Linked DNA regions of Solanum lycopersicum. The protein of the gene in region 1 interacts with the protein of each later gene in a pairwise test. Links are inferred from orthologs where the notes say so. Each region holds a gene or a part of one and is shown in the gene's direction. Other genes may lie near its edges.

Region 1 (10,917 bases):
AATCAGCCTGGAAGCTCTCTGCTGCCTGTTAAGAGAAGTTTTGATGCCCCTACTGCTTATGAAATAGAAGTCAATAAAACTAAAGCCATACCAGAGATAAGTTCTGATCCATGTGCAAAGGCAGCCAAAAAGTTTAAGCAGGATGTTGCTGGTTTCATTCAGAACACTGTTCCTGATTTGATATCGTCTCAAAGAGGTGGAGTCCCAGCAGAATCATGTGGAGGAAGTCAATCTATTGTTCAAAAAAGGAACTCGAAAGGTGATGGTACCCTCGAAGCAAATGGATGCCTGAAGGATGGTAAAGCAAAGCATGCTGGATCAGCAAGTGTTTTATGTGGCATTGACTCTAGTATCAAGGATCTGTTGCCTCAAAGAATGAGTTCAGACAAGAAGTTCAAAAATATTGGAAGTAGCAGTAATTGTTGTCCTGAACAGGGAATATCAAGTGACTCATCCCTGCGTGTGATTCAGCAGGATTCTCGCACTTGTGGCTCCAAAGGTGACCTGGATTATAATCTTCCACGAGATCTGCAAAATGGCGAACCTTCTAATGCAGACAAAGAGAATATTGAGCAAAGTCGTGAATCTGAGTTCTCTAGTGATACTGATGAGTATCACTATGAGAGTACTGCTCTTGCTTCACATAAAAATGATTTTTTGAACTTGCAATACGCTCAGGGTGAAGATTCTTTGGCAATTATTGACTGTACAGAGCTTAATCTTTGTGTGAAGTGTAACAAGGGGGAAAATTTATTAGTTTGTAGTTCTGATACTTGCTCTTTGGTGGTTCATGAAAGTTGCTTGGTTTCTGCACCCAACTTTGATTACAAAGGAAGCTTCTATTGCCCCTTTTGTGCATATTCTCGAGCCATTTCTGAGTACCTGGAATGTAAGAAGAAGGTCTCACTTGCTAGGAATGATTTGGCTGCATTTATTGGCATGGGAGCTGGAAAACAATCAAAGAAGTCACTACCTAGGTCACAAGTTATGAAGAAGCATCAATCTCGAGAGGGTAAGAATTCATTGAATGAGGTCACAGAAGCAGGAAGTGCTCCAGCCGATAGGAGTTCTGTCGGAGCTCAAGTCATTCAAACCAGTGCTCCTAAACCAGAGCCTTCTCTACCTTGCAATGAAAAAATGAGGAATTCATTGAATGAGGTCACAGAAGCAGGAAGTGCTCCAGCCGACAGGAGTTCTGTCAGAGCTCAAGTCATGCAAACTGGTGCACCTCAACCAGGAACTTCTCTACCCCACAATGATAGTGGGAGGAATTCGTTGAATGAGGTCAGAGAAGCAGGAAGTGCTCCACCCTACCGGAGTTCTGTCGGAGCTCAAGTCATGCAAACTGGTTCACCTCAACCAGAGGCTTCTCTACCTGAACAATGCTTAGTAGCTGGTCAACAACCCGACAAATCACCTCTTAGATGTCAGAGATCAAGACATAGATCAAGACAGAATCAGTCCAGATCGGAAGAAGAATTGTGTCATGATGAGAATAGAAACAAAAATTCTTTGGAGAAGGCTGAACCAGCAGGAAGTCATAGATCAAGACAGAATCAGTCCAGAGAGGAAGAAGAATTGTGTCATGATGAGAATAGAAACAAAAATTCTTTGGAGAAGGCTGAACCAGCAGGAAGTCATCCAGTAACTAGAAATTCTATGCATGCGGAGGTCACGCAGGTCCATCCACCTCAACCACATGTTCCTCATGAACATGTGTGCCAAGAAAGTTCTTCTATAGAAGTAAGTTCTGAAGAAGAGCAAGATGAGATAGGTTCCGGATACCTTGTACAATTTAGGAATCAAGAAAACAAGTAAGTCTTTTGCACTTCTCCACTTATTCAAATCATGTGGTCGCTTCATATATTCTTCCAAGAAGTGTCATCTGATTCACTTATACTTTCAAGTGTCTGCACTTATTTCTGTTTTCTCATCTCTTTTATATTGAATCAAAACATTTTGTTAATAGTGATAATCAGGCACGTGAATTACTGTTTTTTTTTTTTTTTTTTGGTTATGATTTATACCTCTGATAGTTTGCTGTTCATTTTTATTGTTAGAGGGAGTAGTTGGAAACTCTGTTGATAAAGGATGTACTTTTAATTTGCAGTTTCTGTCCCTGGATTCCTCAAATGAGGAGGAAGAAGCTCCCATGGACAAAAATGGAGGAGGAAACATTAAAGGTACATGCATATTCTTTTGTCTAAAGTTTGCTTGTTTACTGCCTCACGCTTCTTCTCTCCTTGAAAATGTGGTTAGAATGCACCCCCTTTGTTCAAATAGAAGGTAGATCATGCATATTCTTTTGTCTAAATTTTGCTTGTTTTCTGTCTCATGCTCTCTCTCTTCTTGAAAACGTGGTAAGAATGCACCCCTTTGTTTAAATAGAAGGTAAAATTCATCTCTTTTTCTGTAAGTGCACATATATTTACTTATGAAAAAAGAAAAGATTGTCCCATTCAATAGGAATAAGGGGTTCCTTTTTGTTGGTTTCACTTGAACGTTGGAGGAATTTACATGCAGCTGTGCTTTTTCTTTCATGTTGCGTATATTTAAGGGAAATATATCAATTTTACTAGCCTTTGTTGTTGCTTTCGCAGGAGGGATTGCTACGATTCTCACATTTTCATGATAGATGGAAGAGGATTCTAGATTTTGGAGGTGATGTTTTCATGAAAGGTAGGACACCGGGGGACCTCAAAGATAAGTGGAGAAACATTAGCAAAGCAGACGAGAAAGAAACATAAAGGTTTCTTTTTTAAAATAGACTCTATATATATGTATTTGTTGTCTAAAATTGTTGAGTGCTTTATGTTGCTAAAGTCTCTTCGATGGTAGTTTTTGTTAGAATTTTTTTTGGAATGAATTAAGGTAAGAAGCCAAAATTAGAAGTTCCCATGCAGCTTCCAGAAAATAGCATTTTGTTATGAACTTTTCTCTAGGTTAAGTGTAGAAACGTTGAAATTCCTGCTTGTAAATGTTTTGAAGATTTAATAACAACCTTGTTTAGCAAGTCTACCACTTTGTTTGATCTTTTATGATGTCAATGATATGAAATGGTCACTTTTTGAAGTATGAATACGACATCGATTTGTGACAGTTTTAATTCTGTTGCTTCGAAAGTAGTTGTTCCAGCTTCAGCCACTCGAGTTTTAGTTATTTCTTTTGATTTCTCATCAAATGAATGATACAATTTAAGACATTGACTAGGCAGGGATTCACTGTGCAAGAAACATGTTTATTTAGTTCTATGGTTATGGTGTGTGTATATATTCTGTATTTTTCTATTCCATGTATGTACGACGTGCATAACAATCCTCCACGAGGTAAGTGTAAGATCTACGTACATTCTATCCTTTCGTTCTTCAACAAATTGGTAAGCTTATATTTCGTCATCATATATGCAAAGGGGAACATAAGCCCGTGTTTCTCCTTTTATTACTCTCACAGGTTTACTACTACATATTACTATTAGTCTTCTTCAACTAGTTTTTTTTCTGTATACCATTTCTGGTCAACTTGTCATTAGTTTACTGGGTGAAATGACCTTTATACCCCTCCCATCGAATCGAGTGTAGCGGGAAAAAAAACAATAATGCCACGTGTCCTCTATTTACTGGATCGATGTGTCCGTAACGTTTTTCCTATTTGTACAATGTAATTCTCTAACGGGGAAATTCGATCGAACTCCTTCCGAATCATATATATATATATATATATATCTCTGGGGTGGACGTTGGATCCACAAAATAACATAAATTGTGAGTTAACTTTTGTCCAGATTGTTAATTTATTAAGAAATTCATTAAATATCTATAAATACTCAAACTATGAACCCAATTGTTAATATTTATGATATAACTTGAGAACCATGCCACTCCCTGACCTCGAAAATCGAACTTTCCTCGAGTCTATTCTGAATCCATTTGTCACTTCGTGACCTTGAAAATCACGCTTTCTTTTGAATCTATCATATAAAACGTTACCTATAACTTTAAATTCTGAATCTACTTCTGTCATTCTCGAGTCCATTTGAGAGTGTGGTTCAAGTTGTGTTGTGTGCGTACGTATAAGACTGCATGGGATAAAGATGAATGTAAAGACTCGAGAATCAGGCTGTGAATGTCAGGAAAAAAAATACATGTGAAATTTAGAGGCTCGTGAATTTCAAAAATTCTTGTGAGGTGCTTTTTAATACTTATACAAAATTTATTAGTAAAAATTCATCACTGGCTAGTATTTCTTCTTCTGTGACTTTTATGAGAGAAGAAGAGTGTAGTGTGTTAGACCATTTTGAATTTATTATTAAATTAGAGAATCCAAGGAATGTGAGGTGTCATACTTCATTCAATTCAAAGCAATCTTTTTAGTTTGAGATTACAACAATGATGGATTTCATTAGAGAGTATTGTCTTTCTTTATATGATTTTTACTTTGACACGAAATGAAGCTTAAGAAAATGGAGAAGGTTTTTTTTTATCTTATGGTATTAAACGGAAGATAGGTAAAATAATGTCAAAAAAGTTGCATTTGATCTTATGATCTTAATCATGACATGTAAAAAGTTAGAATTAAAGAGTAAAATGAAAAGGAAAAAAAATTCTTTTAGATCAGACAATAAGATAAATAAAGAGAAGAATTAACCTAAATAACATTGACGCAACCACTTAAACTAAAAGTAATCGATGGATATATAATATATTATAATACATGCAATATGTGTATAATCATACATAATCAGTATATAATCTATATATTTCAGCTAGAAAAAGTAAATTATGAATCTAATCATCTATTTGTATAGAGTGTTATAGAACCACTTATCATTTCCCTTAGGTTATCCGTTTTACCGTATAAATAACCTGATTGTGTAGAATTTTTATCTATTATTGTCACTGTGTATAACTTAAACTTCGTAAAATGAAAGAATGAGAGAAATTAGAACTAAAGAATAATGTGACTTTGACATTATATTCAGTGTACACTGTTTACTACTTAGCTCAAACGGTCACATGCATGAGCTCTTATAACACTAACAAACGTGAAAACATTTAAATCAAAACTACAAATTCTTCCCTTATACACACATATATATATTACTACTCCTTCCAATATATATATCTCACACTCAACACTTAGCAAAAAAAAAAACAATACTACACTTTCTTGTACGACACTGATAGTCTAGTCTAGCGTACTATAAACGGGCTTTCAATTAGCCCGAAAAGTGAACACTCTACGGATCTTCGACACTGATAATCTAGTCTAGCGTATTGAACGGGCTTTCACTTGGCCCGAAAAGTTAACACACTAAAGTCTGTTGTTTTGCTTCGCCTACTTATCCAAAGTTAACTACACTTCACTAAGCTTTGGCCTTTCAGTACGATACAGATAATCTAGTCTAGCGTACTGAACGGGCTTTATGGATAGCTACAAAAGAAATCCACTAAAACCATGGAAGAAGGGCCCGGCAAGAGGGAAAGGGGGCCCGCAGAACGCGTTATGTGAATACCGAGGCGTTCGACAGAGAACATGGGGTAAATGGGTAGCAGAAATAAGAGAGCCTAAAAAGAGAACTAGGCTATGGTTAGGATCTTTTGCTACAGCTGAAGAAGCTGCAATGGCTTATGATGAAGCAGCAAGAAGATTATATGGACCAGAAGCTTACCTTAATTTACCTCATATGAGAGCTAATTTCAATCCACTGAACAAATCACAAAAGTTCAAATGGTTTTCATCAACCAACAACTTTGTTTCATCATTGATACCAAATACCACTGGCTTACTCAACTTAAGTGCTCAGCCAAATGTTCATGTAATTCACCAAAGGCTTCAAGAACTCAAGAGAGCAGAGGCCGCGGCTGCAACAGCAGCAGCAGCAGCAGCCTCATCTTCGAGTTCATCAATCACCGACATTCCCAAAAATGAAACTCAAAAGTATAGTAAATTACAACCTGAATACTTGACAATGACAAGTCCACACGTGATGATCAAGGAGAAGGAAGATGAATTCTCATCACACAACAATGTAGCCGTTCGTGGTGATCAAGCTGAGAAGCCTCAGATTGATCTGAATGAATTTCTTCAACAGATAGGAATACTGAAAAGAGACGATCATCATCAACAACAACAGCCTGATAAAAATCAAGATCATGATCATAATAATAATAGCATCAGTAGTTTCACAGAGTCAAGAGTTTCACTAAAAGACGATAGTTCAATTGCTCATTTATTTGGTGATACAACAAGTTACAATTGGGACACATTGGGTTCAATAACAGGTATAGAAGATCATGAGGTAGCAGCAGAAGAGGCTAATAGCTTTTATAATGTGAATGATGAGCTTATGTTTCCATCTTCAATATGGAACTTTTGAAAGAATTTATCTTATATACACTGAATGTCGGTATATTTTAACCGACTATATAAGGCTATTGCAGAACTTTTAACTTAAATAGAATAAAAAACTTAATTAAATATCAAGTCAGGCAATTATAAACCAATTGTATTTCAAAATAGAGAGTCCTCTATCACGTGGAACTTAGATTCAGTTCTTTTAAAAAACTGGGAATTAATTAAGTTCATGTTCTATATATTTCACAATAAAAATTTTCAAATACATACTTATATATTTTTAACCATACAATAAATTGATTTATAGTTTAAGAGACCAATGTCTGCTCAATCCATTCTTCTCAGACCCAGGAGAGCCTCCTAAGCCACTATTAACAGTGAAGTAACATCATCTTAATAGACACCACAGGTTGAACACAGAAATGAGTGCAAGCTTGAAAATTAAGTTCCGGGGTAATAGGATACTCGCATGGTTTAGACGTGTAACCAACAGTTTCATCACAGTTGAGGGTTGTTCTCATGCATTATCCCGAGTACATACGTTTACCAACAGAAAATTCTGATATAGATCAACAGGTCAAAAGTTAAAATGGCAAACAGTTCAATACAGGGAGAAGCGTCATCACTCAAGCAAGCTAGTGGCGTTCTTAACTGACTGTTCCTTGGGAGGTTCAACAAAATCCCGAAAGGAAAACAGGGAGGCGTATATCTAGCTTTAAAAACAACAAGTACATTATTGTTACATTAAGCAACGACATCAAATTGATAATGCCTAAAGTTACTACAAGCTTAGCTAAGGTTTACCAGCAATTTGAAGTATATGATTCTGGTAATATGACGAGCGTATCTAAAATCACTTGTAGATAAGGGCGTCACGACCAGGCCCAATACCAATGTAGTGGATAGGTACCCCAACAAGCTCCTCTATCCTTTCTACATACTCGCGTGCAGCCTTGGGCAAGTCAGAATACTTCCTGATTGAAGAAATATCAGTTTTCCATCCAGGCAAAACTTCATACTCCACCTACATAGATGAGAAAAAGGAAAACATATAGTAGAAGTCACAAACACACAATACAAGAAAATAGAAAACGGTAATAAGATACAAGCAACATGGGGCATTAAAGAAGTATCAATATGCATACTAAAGGTCTACCGACATGAAAAGCCAATAGAAAAAAATCATGATATATGGGAGAGAAAAGGCAGATTGAAAGAACAAAAAAGTTGCAAAAATTAGGGAACTTCATTTTCATCCACCTTCCGGTAATAGGGTAGAGGAAATTAAACTATAGTTAACTCCTCGCTGAAAAACATAACTTTTATGAAAAGGTTTTAATGTTTTCCCACACATCAATGTGTTAATATGGCTCAATTTCCCAAAACATTCACATAAAAATTGAAACTAATAATCTGGTCTTCCAAACACCACAAAGATCATCACGTAAAAAGATGTTGAAGTGGGAAAACAAAAGAAACTTACCTTTATTTGTTCGAGAAGACTTAGATCAGAAGGAAAAGAATTTAATGTTGAACCATCAGGATGCCTGTAAGTAACACCCAACTGAATTTCTGATAGATCTGACAGCACATCTAGTTTTGTCAGGTTTAGAGAAGCAAATCCATTTATTTGACAGCAGTATCTTAGTGCAACTATGTCTAGCCAACCACAGCGACGCGGGCGTCCAGTAGTTGTACCAAACTCCTGCCCAGCAGAACGAAGAAGATCGCCATATTCGCCCATGAGTTCTGTTGGGAAAGGACCAGAACCAACTCTTGTCGTATATGCCTTAACCTGCAGGAAAAGCATCAATTAAAACAGCTCAATATTTGCTGCTCTGTGCATAAAGTGCGATAAATGCAGACTGAAGGACCATGCAGTCAATTGATTCCTAAGAGCTAGTTGATATGAGGATCATATTCTTATGGCTAAAATCTGGGTTTATCACACGTTTAGCTAATTGACGATGATAGATGTACAGCAATAAGTTTTAGGAAAGATAAAACTGTTCTTCATTCTTCAGTATAAAAGGACAAAAATTCTTTTAAGAAAATAAATCGAGTTTGCTTACCACACCAACAAGATCACCGACAACTCTGGGAGCAATTCCAAGACCTGTGCAGATTCCACCAGCTGATGGACTGGATGAAGTGACAAAAGGGTATGTCCCAAAATCGATATCCAGCATAGTTGCCTGACCACCTTCTACCAAAATCTTCTTTTTCTGAGATATAGCATCATTCATGAAGTGCACAGTATCTGTAACGAAAGGTTCCAACCTCTCAGCAAATTTCTTATAGCGTTCCACTTCCTCCCTGAGCATGTCAGGGCAATACTTAAAACCTTGGAATCTTGAAGCGGCATCTGATAATAAAAGATCAAGCTTTTGGGGGAATGTGTCCATATGCCTTAAATCACTAACCCTTATGCCATTTCGAATAACCTTGCTTGAATAGGAAGGCCCAATGCCTCTCTTGGTGGTACCAATAAAGGACTTATCTAGCTCAGCTTCTCTAAGCCCATCTACTTCTTGGTGAAAATCAAATAACAAGTGAGCACGATCTGATACCAAAATCCTTCCTTGACAAGAAACTCCATTAGATTCAAGATTGTCAATTTCATTAAAAAGTCCTGGTAGATGTACCACGACTCCGTTACCAATAACACATAAAGTTTCCTCATTGAGAATCCCTGAAGGGACAAGGTGCAGAGCAAACTTCTTCCCCTCAGAATTGTAAATAGTGTGCCCAGCATTGGCTCCTCCCTTACAACCAAAAACATTATTGAAAAGCTCAGCTAGCATAGTTAACAAGTTTATCTATCCCAAGCAATATAAAGTAAAGTAGAATGGTAGGATGAGAAATAAATAGAAACAACAATTTAAAACAAAATGGTATAGATGAGAAATATATATGAACATTATACAAAAAATATTTGATCTTTCACCTAAAGACATGACTTAGGTCATTGGGTTGAGAACCCTGAACTCTAATTTTCAAATCTCTTGTAGTTGAAAACAGTATGTGATTTCACCGTATTTGTCCAAGCCTTGGTAGATAGAGTTATGAGGTAGTTCCAGCAGGTACCAAATGGGAGCAATCAAGTGATCGAAAAGTAATACGAGGAAAATTTTCTCTTTCAACTCTACACTCTGCCTCTGTTTCTACAGATACACTTGCATCAAAAAAAATAATACGAGGAAACTCTAGAATCAAAAGAAACTATGATCCTAAGGTATCACTAGGGCTTCTTTTGGAGGCCTCTTGAATCCTAACTCACCCACTTACTGAAACCAAGCATATCTAACAAAAAATTCCAAATAATGAAGCAAATACTGTTCTTGATTTGGCCTAAAGTATACTCTAAGATGCTAACTATACAGTATGAGTGTTATTTAACGGTTATAGGAAGTTATCGCTCGGACACAAACTCATATAGCACCCAAGGCTGTGGCCTAGTTCTAATTTCAGCAGAGACAAAACACTAGGTGATTTCTTCTAGCGGGACAGAGTTGCTGGTATCCCGTTGAATTAATCGAAATGATAATACCAATAATGAACTCATTTAAATATACCTGACAACGAGCAACAATATCAAAATGCTTAGCCAATATATCAACGAGCTTTCCCTTTCCTTCATCACCCCATTGACAACCCAGCACGCCTGATACCTGACTCAGTGACTCAATTCGACTCAGTCCTGACTCGTTGACCCCTTGACGATCCACTACTGAGGCAAGCGGATTTTTCGAACAAACTATCATTGAAGAAGCCTTCTTCTTCCTTTGCTGGAACTGAATGAGCCTACAACTATTGGTCCCATTGTAACCGATGGTCCCACTCCGGTGACTCACCTTCGCCGTCGCTGTAGCTTTCGCCGTTGTGATTGAGCTGGCATCAAGCCTCATGGTTGACATGTTCATGGTGGCGGCACCGGGCGGCGTGCGGTTGCGCTGTGCACAGAGAGGAGGAAAAATGTGTTTTCAGGGTTTAGGTTCAGGAGAATTGTTAGGTGGAGAGCATGGGACCAATTCACTACGTTAGAGAATAATAATATATTCATAGGTACACTCTCATTTTTAATTATTAATCTCGAATTAATTTGTAAATTACTTAACTTTAAAATATATATCAAACAAAATATTTTCAACGTGAATCTAGATTAATCAAACATCCAAACATATATATAATTCAAAAGAATTTTTTTTCAATTATTCTCCTTTTGTAATATCTTTTATGTGTGTGTACCTTTTTACTGAATGTGATTTCTTTTTTTTTTATAATCGATTCTATTTAACTTCTAATTATAGTACAACAACATATCCAGTGAAATCTCACAAGTGTAATATGTAACCTCTAATTGTAAACAAGTCTAATTATTTTAAATTAACATGAGATAAGAAACCAATATTACATAATGTAATTGGCAACAAGTATTTATTCTATTTAAAATCAATGATAACATATCTAGTATATTCCACAAGTGAAGTCTAAGAAAGGTAATGTGCATGCAACCTCACTTCTGTCTTGTGAAAGATAGAGACGTTTCATCCCAATTTTAAA
Region 2 (11,697 bases), on another chromosome or scaffold:
CACTAAAAATTATTTTTATTATAGTATAATGAGATGCTAAAATTTATTCTAACTAGTGTTGTATAATATACAAATGTCAGTGACATAATTTTATAAATTTTCTCGATATAAAATTAAATAACATCAAATAAATTGAAACGGAGCGATAGAATCTTTTCATGGTTGGGCCAAAGGGACACGTGCAAATGATAGCAAAATTCTTACCCAGTAATGATGGATTTCCACCGTTTGTTCCACTGTGTGGGTTCCCACAATCATGCCCAATCACTTCCACAAACATAAACCTTTTTCTTTGACCAAAGAATAATCAATATCATCATATTTTTAACCCCCTTTTTGATTACTGCTACTCATTTGTACCTTCAAAGTCATCACTAAATCAACTCAAAAAAGGAACTTTGATGCACTGTCACTTATCCTCTATATCACCTTGTTCCTTTGTGTTCTATTATTCTCGATCTGTTATTCGGAATTTATATTAAAGTCTGAAACTCAATTTATATCGTACATTATAAAGGCTCATTGACAAGTGATATATGCTTTTGATAATTCTTTTTATATTTAAGACTTAAAATTGAGATCTCTAATTAAGAATAAAACAGTTTTACTATTGCATCATGATCCAGGTCGGAGTTACTTGTCTTTAAGTAGGAACCCCTAACAACTATATCACACTCTCATTGTACGTACGGTTCTTAAATTCTTTTGCTTTGACACATTATTTTTGTACAAAAATATTCTCTCACTTTATAATCAATTTTAAAGTGATGATTTTGTCGTTATGAGAGCAAAGGAATGAAGCACAGGCAAGTCATCATGAAGATCCATCGTCTAGTTTGCATGGTGGGCTCAATCACTTAGAATATATTCTGAATATGATATATATATATATATATACATATATATTCCGTTTTGAGTTAATCTACATAATATACATTCTTATAACATATATGTATAGCTAATCATTCTTTTCGACTATTAATACGAGGCTTTATCCCATTATCATAATCAAAAAATTATTTTTTGTGTTGTAGTATGTGTCACCCACATAACTGAGTATTTATGGCTATGAATCCCAAATGAGCTTCTCCGAGCTAATATTGATAGGGTTAAAATAGTAAACTGACTTTTATATAATTATACCGTCGTTTATATATTTGTCTCGTAAAACTATTGACTCTAAAGCACGTAATTTTTCCTATATTGGAAAACCACAAGATGATGGAAATTGATGATGTTGATATATACGGACACAAACTATATATTAGGCAAATAAAGAAAGATCAAAGAAAAAAGGTGACAGACATAATATAAAAGAGAATCGTATAATGGCACCATGAGTATGTATATTTTGTTCAATTAGATGCTAAAAGGGAACAAAGTAACCTACCCCTCAAATTGAACATGTGGGACGTCTAATTTAATTGGAGACACAGAAGATGTTCAAATACAATAATGAGCTAGCTCAACATTAATGATCATTTGTCGATGAGTTTAAATTCTTTTACGTTTGATTGATAAAAATATTTTTGTTATTTTATAGAAATAAGAAAAAAAATAAGTTTTATAAATTATATGACAAGTTCATTATCTCCTCCTTACCAATCAATTTTAAATTCTTGAAAAACAAGTAAGAGAGAAATACGAACAAATAATTAGTGACTGAATCAATAATGAGAGTGTTATTATATATCCAAATGGCCACACGTACTCAACTCATTGTGTAACGTATATTATTATTCCTCCATTCTACTTTTTTACTTCTTTTTAATTAGTTTCATTATTTATAAGAACGTTCTAATCAGGCAAAATTTTAGGTTTGTCATCATATTTCATCTGTTACTTTTTTTTTCTTTTACCTTGAAAGATGAAATTAGATAATTATATGTTCACTTTGTTCAAGATTCTATTTACACTAATTATTATAAATCAGGTACAAAACCATCAGCACTTTGAAAAAAAAATTAAAAAACAGCTGGAGATTAATTAAAGAATCAATCAATCTAGAAAAACTTATATCTAATTAATTAATTTTAAACGAGTTTAAGCAAATAAAAAAATCTTTTTATTTTGGTGAGCTGTACTAAAAAAAAATAAAGTAAAAATAAATAAAAAAACTTAATAATTGGATATTTATATTCCTTTGACGTTGGGGCACCGAAACATTTAAATGGGATAACGTGACTAATTTCAAAATTGAAATCATTACAATATGTGAAAACATTTCTACGTAGAAAGAATGACTTCTTGGCAGGCCAATAACAAGACAATTTAATTTGGTATCTTGTCCAAACGACAAACCCATATGTAGAATTTTTTTTCTAACCTAATTTTCTTAGGTTTTGTAGGTACTAAGTCTACTAGATATGGTCTGAGAAAAATACAACAATAATAATATATAATTTCATAAGCGGATTCTGAAATGATGCGATGCATTCAACTTTATTCATATCTTCATAGGGGTAAAATTATGACCATAACATTAAATCAAGAAGTCTATATATATCGACAAAGAATACATAGGTATACAGGTAAGTAAAATTTACATCTTAATGATGTGTTTTAAAGTTGTGTGGATCTTGGTCCAAAGAGAATAATATCACTTAGTGGACTAGACAGTTACAAATGATATCAAAGTCACTCTTGTCTCAACCTTGTGTACGTGGATTAGATTTCAATTGAGTTTAGACAAATTTTAATAAGATGAGATAAATCTAATGAGTACTGATTTTAGATAAATTGTATGCGGTGAAGAAAAATCTCATGGAGGACGATAATTCCATAAGAGGGATTTAGGTGACACCTCATCTTATAAAGATAAAAAAAAAGTTCCACATAGGAATAAAAACTTAAGAAAAATGCTAGGTATAAACGTAAACAAATCTTACATCTGAATGATGCGTTTTAAAGCTTCGCTAACTTAGATTCGAAACAGACAATATTACTAGTGAATTGCATGAATCATTTTCAAATAACCCCTCCGTGAAGTTGTCAAAAAGTATGATAGCAAGATATCGATTTAAGTAATAAATAGTAATGAGAAAAAAAGTGAAACGAAAAACAACCTTTGCTTATTTTCAAAGGGTGCATGCAAAATCTCTCTTTTATGTACGACGTTAAATTGGATAGTAAATTTATTTATATATGAATATAATAATATAATTTGAATAAAGTTTTATGTACTACAGCTCCTACTATAAATTTGTCAGAGAAAAAAACATCGCATGTTTGATTGGACATCACTCTTTCTGTGTAAATAATTTTCAAACTTAGCTTTATTCAAACGAGTGGTTACTTGTCATTTGACACTCTCCACGCCTAAATTTTGAATTAATCTTACGAAGTTATATGTATGACTATCTAAAATTTCAAATATCATCATTACTTTTGTGAATTCGGGACATAATTTAATCGTAAAATTAGCTCATAAGAAAATAATGTGAAGGTATATATATTTTTTATTAACAGTGAACATTTGAATCTCGAACGTTTAATATGAAGGCTTGATTTTAATTAACAATAAATGAAATGAGTTTTGCCCAAATATCATGTTATTGACTTTGGACAGAATTTAATCGTATAAATTTGCTCATAAAAGATAGAATTGTCTTAGACCATATAAAGAGATCACTTATCATTTTTTTATCTGATGCGAAACTTTTCAATGAAATAATTGTGTTTAATTAATTTTGTGTGAGATGATTCGTAAATAAAAGCAGATAGAAAAATGAAGATTTATGTTCATACCAAGATCTATACGATCAAGAGTAGAAATATATAACTGGATCATAGATCTTTCAGAAATTGGGGCATAAATTTCAGCACTCCCTTGAAGACTTTTACTATAAAGTTGTTGTTGGATTCACATTTCAAGTTATCATAATACATAAATGGATCGTAATATTTGAATTTAACTAATTTTTATGTTTTTCAAATTTTTTATATACAAATAAACTCTTTAACTGGTTACATAAAATATTTTTACATGAAAATTCATGTGATACTCTATGTAAAACAATACATAGAAGACTTGCATCTACTTTACTCGATGCATACTCTAAAATTTAGAGAATAAAAATATCAACTGAGTCCAAATTAAAAAATTTATTCCAATCTATCATCAAATTGAGGACACAAATTAATTATCCTAAAAAATACAGACAAGACAAGAAATACCTGCCTTCAATAATAAGCTGCCACGTTTGTGAATAAGCCAGCTCCTATAATAACCTTTCTATATTTTAGTCAAGCTGAATATTTTCTTCTCTTTTTTTTTTTGACTTTTTTTATAACTCTTAGAAGAATTAATGGGTTTCGGTGCATTCTCAACATTAAATAAATTAAAAGAACAAAGTATTTAGACACACAAAAGAAAAAGAAAGATATGAATCAGTGAAAAATAATTTCCAACGTTCTTGACTATATTGTAGTATATAATTTGATGCCTAAATTAATAAAATTCAATCATTGATGGGTGACAGATAATTAGGGAATTACTTTGATGCATGTGCTTGAATCATGCAAAGACTTTTGCTATACAAAAATGGAGATAATAAAATTTTTTTAAAAAAAGTATGAGATAGTGGATTTTCTTTTAATAATATTTGGGAAATTGGAGTATACAGTTCCCAAAGAAAAAAGGGGATATTTGGGTTATGGGCATATAACTAAAGCTACATCAGATGGATTTTTGTCACATATATAGTATACAATATGTCTACACACGTCATGCATGTAATATACTCCCTCCTTTGTCCAACTTTATTAACCACTATATAAAAAAAAATACTATATAAATCGATATCTATTTTTACTTATCTAATTTGAAAAAATCGACGGACTACTATGTATCACGTAGTTTTATATTACCCTTACATACAACTATATTCAAATAATGATATAATGAGTAATTGTACTCTCTTCGTTAATTTTTATTTGTTTAATTTCAAAAACAAAAAGTTAATTTATCCATGTAATTGACTATAGTTGTTTGTCAATGCATTTTTAAAACTTTGATTTTATTATATTCAGCCAATGTTATTATAAAATTATTGTTTCATTTAATGCTCTTCAAGAACTGTGTCATGTTAATATTGAACAATAAAAAAAAGTAAAATTACATAATTAATTTCATAGTGTTAATTGTTAAGAGCAAATTATATCATCCCTATTCTTCTAAAACACAAAAATCCTTTAAAGATTATAACATTTCTAATAGGTACATTAGAAAAAAGCGAATACATAATTTATAAATTTTCAATGATACATTACTTAATGAGAGGGGATGAATTTGAAAAAAAATTAGAAATGTATCTGATAGAAAAAAAATATATCAAAAAGGAATGAATTTATTCAAGAGAGGATATAAATAGATGTTCTGAGAAAGAATTTTTATAATTTTTTCAAAAATTATTATTAAATATAGACAAATAAAAAAAATCAACGTATCAATAAATTGAGAGTGTTTTTTCTAACATAATATTCCACTACATAAAGACGGCATTCAATTTATTTTCCCCGTATCCGTATCTTGGAAAGAAACAAAGAGTTCCAATAAGGAGTTTAGGGATTGGTGGAAACTTTTTTTGCTTTAATAATTTATTTATTTTTCTTGTCCTAACTTTATTTAATTTTAATGATACATTATATTAAAAAAGTTTATTTAGAAGGAGAAGAGGCCACCGAAAAGCATGGACAAATTATAATGATTAAAGTAAGAAGAAGAAAGAAGAAAAAAAAAGGCAAAAAAATAGAGAGAAAAAAGAGAAGAAAAATTACTCATTACATTTTATTTTAGTTGATTAGACTAGCCAACTACACACACGCATACATTCACCCACACGCTCACCAATTCAATTCATTTCATTCATTCATAATAGTAATTTTACACCTTTTTTAAATTTTTTTTTTTTTTTTGCCTCTTATCTATAGCTAGCTAGCTCTCTATTGATCCACCTTTTTTTTTTCCTCTTACTTTTTAAAATGGAAATCATAAGTCAACCTCACCTCATCATTTGGTCTTGGTTCTTATAGGCACCCACCTCATTTCCCACTTTCTTTTATTATTAATTTTACCTTTTTTTCTTCGATACTTTTTTTTTCCAGAGAGTAACGTCAACATCCTGTCTATAACAAGGTGTACGAAGAAATTGGAGTGATTTGAGTCGATGTTAGAATCGATTAATCATTTTCTTCATTACCTTGCTTTTGCTAACGTTGAATAACGTCAATATTTTATTTATGACAAAGGTCCATAAGGGTGGTGGAGTGACTCGAGTCATAGCCAGGATCAATATAACGCTCGTTTGGTGGTTTAGTTGAGAAATAAAATTATGTCCTTGTGAATTACTTAACTTTCAAATTCTTGATTTATATATGTTCACATAAATATCTAATTGAATTTGTGTTAGACGATCACAATTTTCAAAAATTATTTTTTTAAAACTTTATGCCTCGTCAAACTATGTCACAGTTTACCTAACACATAATTCAGGTTAAAATTTTAACTTAATATAGATTGTTAGATTAATTACCGCATATAGTTATCTTTTAGGTGACTTGATGATTGCAGTGTAAAAATTCTTTTTTACACTAGCAACGAATGATGGTAGTTAAACTCCACCTTTTTTTAGTAGGAGTGATAATTGAGTTCTATATAATGGGGATGCCTCTAGTGGCATATGAATACTAAAAGCTGTCTAGCTCCATGTACATGGGATCATCATCAGGAAGCTTAAGTATGAAGGTGCATCAATTCACACGTGGATTCTTAGAGCATGAAGCTGCTTCTCCTTCACTTACACTTGGTTGCAAACGTTTAAGACCACTTGCTCCTAAGCTCAACACAACCAATAATGATACCACAACTACCATTGTTACTCCTCCTTTTGATCTTAAGAGTTTCATTAGGCCTGAAAGTAGCAATAGCCCTCCTAAACTTGCTTACAATGAAGACAAGAAAGACTCCTCTCAGGTAATTTCTAAATGTTTTTTTTTTTTTTTGCATATTTACGTAATGAGTTCAGTTGAACTAACAGAATTCGTCTTTAGTAGATGTATGAGTTCAACTGAATTCAATTGTTTTGACTTAAACTTTCTTAGATATGTACGAATAGTACATTTCAAATCGAATAACTCAAATGACCAGTGCATTCAGCTTCATCATGAATTCATAAAGTTTAAATTCTGACGTCTTATCACATCAAATGATAAAGGGAATATTCTTACTAACATCTTGAATTCATAAAGTATACACTTGATTCCACTAGTGGCATGTTAGGACATGTAGGAGATTCGCGAGGTCCATATGAATATACTTTTTTTTTTTGTTAGTGTGGTTGTTGATGTTTTACTTTTAACATATGTAGGTGGAATCACACCCAGGAGGAACAAGATGGAATCCAACACAAGAACAGATAGGGATACTTGAAATGTTGTATAGAGGTGGGATGCGTACACCCAACGCGCAACAAATAGAGCAAATCACAGCACAACTAGGAAAATATGGGAAAATAGAAGGCAAAAATGTGTTCTACTGGTTTCAAAACCATAAAGCCCGTGAAAGACAAAAGCAAAAGAGGAATAGTCTTGGCCTTAGCCAAAGTCCAAGAACACCATCAGCCATAGTCACTAGTCCTTTGTCATTTGACACTAGGGTATGTCTCATGACACGTTTATAACTAAGTTATATACACTGTCAGTATAATTTTATTTAAAAACTGTCCATCTATTTTGACATGTTATAACATGTTGCGTTATATTGTTACTTGTTGTAACGTATCAATAAGTATATTAATTTTGATATGAACCCTTTGCACTACTGTATTGATCTGTAGTTATCTTTTAATTGATCTGATATTGATTTGTTACTCGATACAGGGAGAAGTAGTGAGGGATGAAGATAGTCCATACAAGAGAAAGTGTAGGGGATGGACATTTGAATACATGGAGGAAGAACAACAACAACAAGATGAAGAAGAAATTATAAATTGTAGAGAAAATGGTGATAGGACTCTTCAACTCTTCCCATTGCATCCAGAAGGCATGAGATGATGAATTTATTATAAGAATATTCTTTTTTCCTTTTTAATTATGATCTGACTAGCTTCCTTTTTTTTTTTTTACTTATTTTCGTCATCTTTAATTTTTACTTTCTTCATTTGCATGCTTTGTTTCCTTTTCTTTTATTTTTTTCCTTGTTTTGGGAAAGAGAAAAGAGAAAAGAGAGACATATGAATCATCAAATCTATGTAGTACCAATTCACTTCTCTTGAATTTTGGGCATTTTAGTGACTTATTCCTGACCTAAAATACCCTATCTCCTATGTCTCATTGGAAATGCTGCAAAAATAATCTATTATTTTCTTCTTCTTGTGGTTGATACTTATATGTCAATTCTTATTTAAAAATAAAAAACGACCATGAGAAATCGTTGCTTAGTAATATTCAGTAACCACCTCTATTTTTAGTTTTAAATTTGTAGGTTCAAATCACTAAAGAAGCAATAAGGTGACAATGAAGTGGTAGAAGAAATATGCCAACGGATTTTTAGGCTAAATTAGTTATCTCACCTATCAAAGTATTGGTCTTTGGGTTGTGTCTCTCTCTTTAATTAGTCTATAAAATACTTAAAGATGAAATCAAGATTTAAAATTTATAAATATTTATAATTATAATAACTCAAGTAAAATACTATGATAACAGTTAGATTAAATTTTAATATTTAAATTTTTTTTTAAATATTATTAAATTTACGTAAATTTAAAATGAAGCGTCTAGATTTTCGATGATATTATTCACAAAAGGGGTGATGAAGACACTGAAGTCCACGCACATATCTTTATATAATTCTTCTTTTTTGTTGTTATTTGAGAAATTCAAAGCTGATGGGGTCGGATTAGTGGTTGATTTTTCTTTACATTAATTAATATGTTATTCATGCTAAGCTATAGTACTTTGATATTTGATTTTTTAAAAAAAAAATTCAATTTGTGGAAGACTTTGATAAAGTTGCTTAGCCCATGGCATGTCAATCAGAAGACATGCAATTTCTTTTTTATTTTATAATGTTGACTAATGGATTGTGGGGTAGAAGATCAGTTCATAGATATGACTTTGGAGGGAAAGCAAATAAAACTTAGATTTAAAATAAAATAAAATAATAAAGAGTAGGGTGTAGTTGGATAATTAACCAAATAAATTAATATAGTTAATGATGGAATTTCGATTAGGTAGATAATTAATGCAAAAGGAGATTGATTCATTATATCTTTAATGTGTCTTTTTACTTATTTAGGTTTATGTTTAGTCTTAATTATTTAGATTTTAATTATTTTATTTTATTTTTCAAGTTTGAATTTATCTATTAATATATTAATTATTAAATATATTTGTCTGTCTTGTTTTGTAATTACAGAATCCAAATGAATGATATTTGACAATTTTTTAATTTCATTCAAATGTTTGTTAACAATTTCTTTGTAGAGTAAAATTATAATATTACTTTATCCACTTTAATCAATTTTCTTCAATCATCTTTTAGACTTCAGCACAATCACAAATATTATCAATCATCACAACAATATTCACCGTCATCAATCATCATTATTCGTTACCAATCACTATTACATGCATATTCAACTTACATTATTATCACTAACATATACTACAAATTATCAATTGTCATCATCAAAACTACATGATCAACCTATACCATTCCAATACGCACACACAATCACCATCTCCAACCGTAATTATCATTAACCGTCATATGATTATTTTTTTAAAAAAAAAAATTGATAAAATATTAGATCTATATTTTGTTCATAATATTACATGTTGTAGTTTTTAAAAAAGGCATATTATCCATTTAAAAGTTGAGAAAATAAACAATCTTGATAATTTAATTTTTAATTTTTAAACTTAATTTAATAATAATAATAATTAAAAATAATAATAATAATAATTTGTTAGGGAATATATTGGTGCTATTTATGTAAGTTCTTCCAATTTTTCCGTTAACAATTTTACATAAAATTTGGATCTTATGCCGAATCGCAAACAACAAATTAGGCCCAAGTAGATAAATACATGGACGGATCATTGATTCTTGTGATATGCGTTGTGGGCTTTAGGCCCAAATGCTATTAACCACGAGAAGCTTTTCGGAGGTGATTTGCACAAATATGTTTAATTCCGTTGTGGTATTTAAAAAGGAAAATTACGGAAATTGGATCCACTAGGTAAAGTATTTACTCAAATTAGATCAAATTCAAACTATTTAACTTGATTGGATCCACTGCTTCATCATTCTTAATATCATTGGAGTAGAGGTGGATCTAGGAATTAGGGTCACTGGGTGCCAAGCAGAGGCGGACCACATGATAGGGGTGCACGTGCATCTGTTAACTTCAAAAAGGTTACGTGTATATATATATATATATCTATCGTGAGAAACTGACATAAAGTAGGATATAATAAACTCTACCCATAAGAGGTATAGGGGTGCCCTTGTTTAGTTGGTACAAGCCGGAGGAACCACTCGCGAGAATACAATTCAATCTTATTTTATTATTTTTATTTTAAGTTTAGCTTATAAATCATATTCGAGCCATTAGTAACCAATCAAATACTACATTATTCATTAATTGTAGTGAAATTTTCGTTAACTACCTAAATTAAGATAGTGTTGGTGCATCGAAATCTCCAAATTTTAGATTGTCTCTAATGCTCAGTAGGCTCATCGATTAAATCAATTTTAGATTCAAATAGAATTCGTCTTGTGGCTGGACGGAGAGCAGAATTGGGCGACGGACGGAAGCTTGAAGCTTTATTTAATGACAACTTTTTCTTGTTGAAAAGTTTAAAGGAGGTTTCAACGGTAAAGATAATTTTTTTAATATATTTAATCATGTAAAAGAAAAGTGAAAGAGTTAAATTAAATTAGTTAAAAACAATTATTAATTAATACTCCCTCCCACCCATTTTATGTCGCAACATTTGACTAGAAATAATGAAAACTTTGAAATGTTACCAAATTGTTTTCAAAAAAGTAACTCACTTTTCTCTCTCTTCATAAATGTATTAGAAAATTAAGTGGGACCAATAACGGTAAAAGAGAAATTATTCCTCTAAATACTTATCATATAAGGAAATGTGACATTCTTTTTTAGACGGACCAAAAAGAAAATCAAAAATCAAAAATCAAAAATCAAAAAAAGAATGTGCTAGTAGTTTAAAAAACAAACGCTGCCTGTGGTTAAAAAGAAAAATTGAAACAAAATAAGGCTGTTGCCTGGAATCAATCTCTTTGAACCAGGGGTTGTTAGCTTGCGGGTCTACCATTGCCCCACAGAACAATTTTGTTCTCTGGGTGGCACGGATATAATTTATACAAATATTATATTTATATATAAATAAAATTTTCATGAATGGCGTGACATCCCCACGTACCTGAATGGATCCGCCACTTCATCGAACTATATAAATACTTTAATAATATCAATTAGTAATTGATCAGTATTTTCACTAAAACACTACATATTCCTCCTAGATGTCACCGAGTGGAATCAATGCATCTAATTGTCATACCAGTAGCTGATCACATACTCAACAGCAGAATTAATTGAAAATATTATTAATTGATTGGTAATTTGGATAGTTTCATTCCTTAAATTTCCTTGGTTTAATCATCTCATA

What was found.
Region 2: the proteins of dehydration-responsive element-binding protein 2F (region 1) and WOX4 interact in binary tests that used the Arabidopsis thaliana proteins (3 or more experiments, as listed by UniProt). The link is inferred for Solanum lycopersicum from reciprocal best matches to the Arabidopsis thaliana genes AT3G57600 and WOX4.

Annotation. Positions count from the first base shown.
Region 1 is NC_090809.1:60,755,104-60,766,020, forward strand, and holds dehydration-responsive element-binding protein 2F, read left to right. Parts: upstream 1-5,422; coding exon 5,423-6,376; 3' UTR 6,377-6,429; downstream 6,430-10,917. Other genes in the region: uncharacterized protein, read left to right, coding at 1-1,814, 2,111-2,183, 2,601-2,747; adenylosuccinate synthetase, chloroplastic, read right to left, coding at 7,208-7,378, 7,838-8,149, 8,427-9,119, 9,930-10,277. UniProt on the Arabidopsis thaliana protein: Transcriptional activator that binds specifically to the DNA sequence 5'-[AG]CCGAC-3'. Binding to the C-repeat/DRE element mediates high salinity-inducible transcription.
Region 2 is NC_090803.1:65,157,473-65,169,169, reverse strand, and holds WOX4, read left to right. Parts: upstream 1-6,684; 5' UTR 6,685-6,706; coding exon 6,707-6,973; intron 6,974-7,367; coding exon 7,368-7,655; intron 7,656-7,878; coding exon 7,879-8,052; 3' UTR 8,053-8,369; downstream 8,370-11,697. UniProt on the Arabidopsis thaliana protein: Promotes differentiation and/or maintenance of the vascular procambium, the initial cells of the developing vasculature.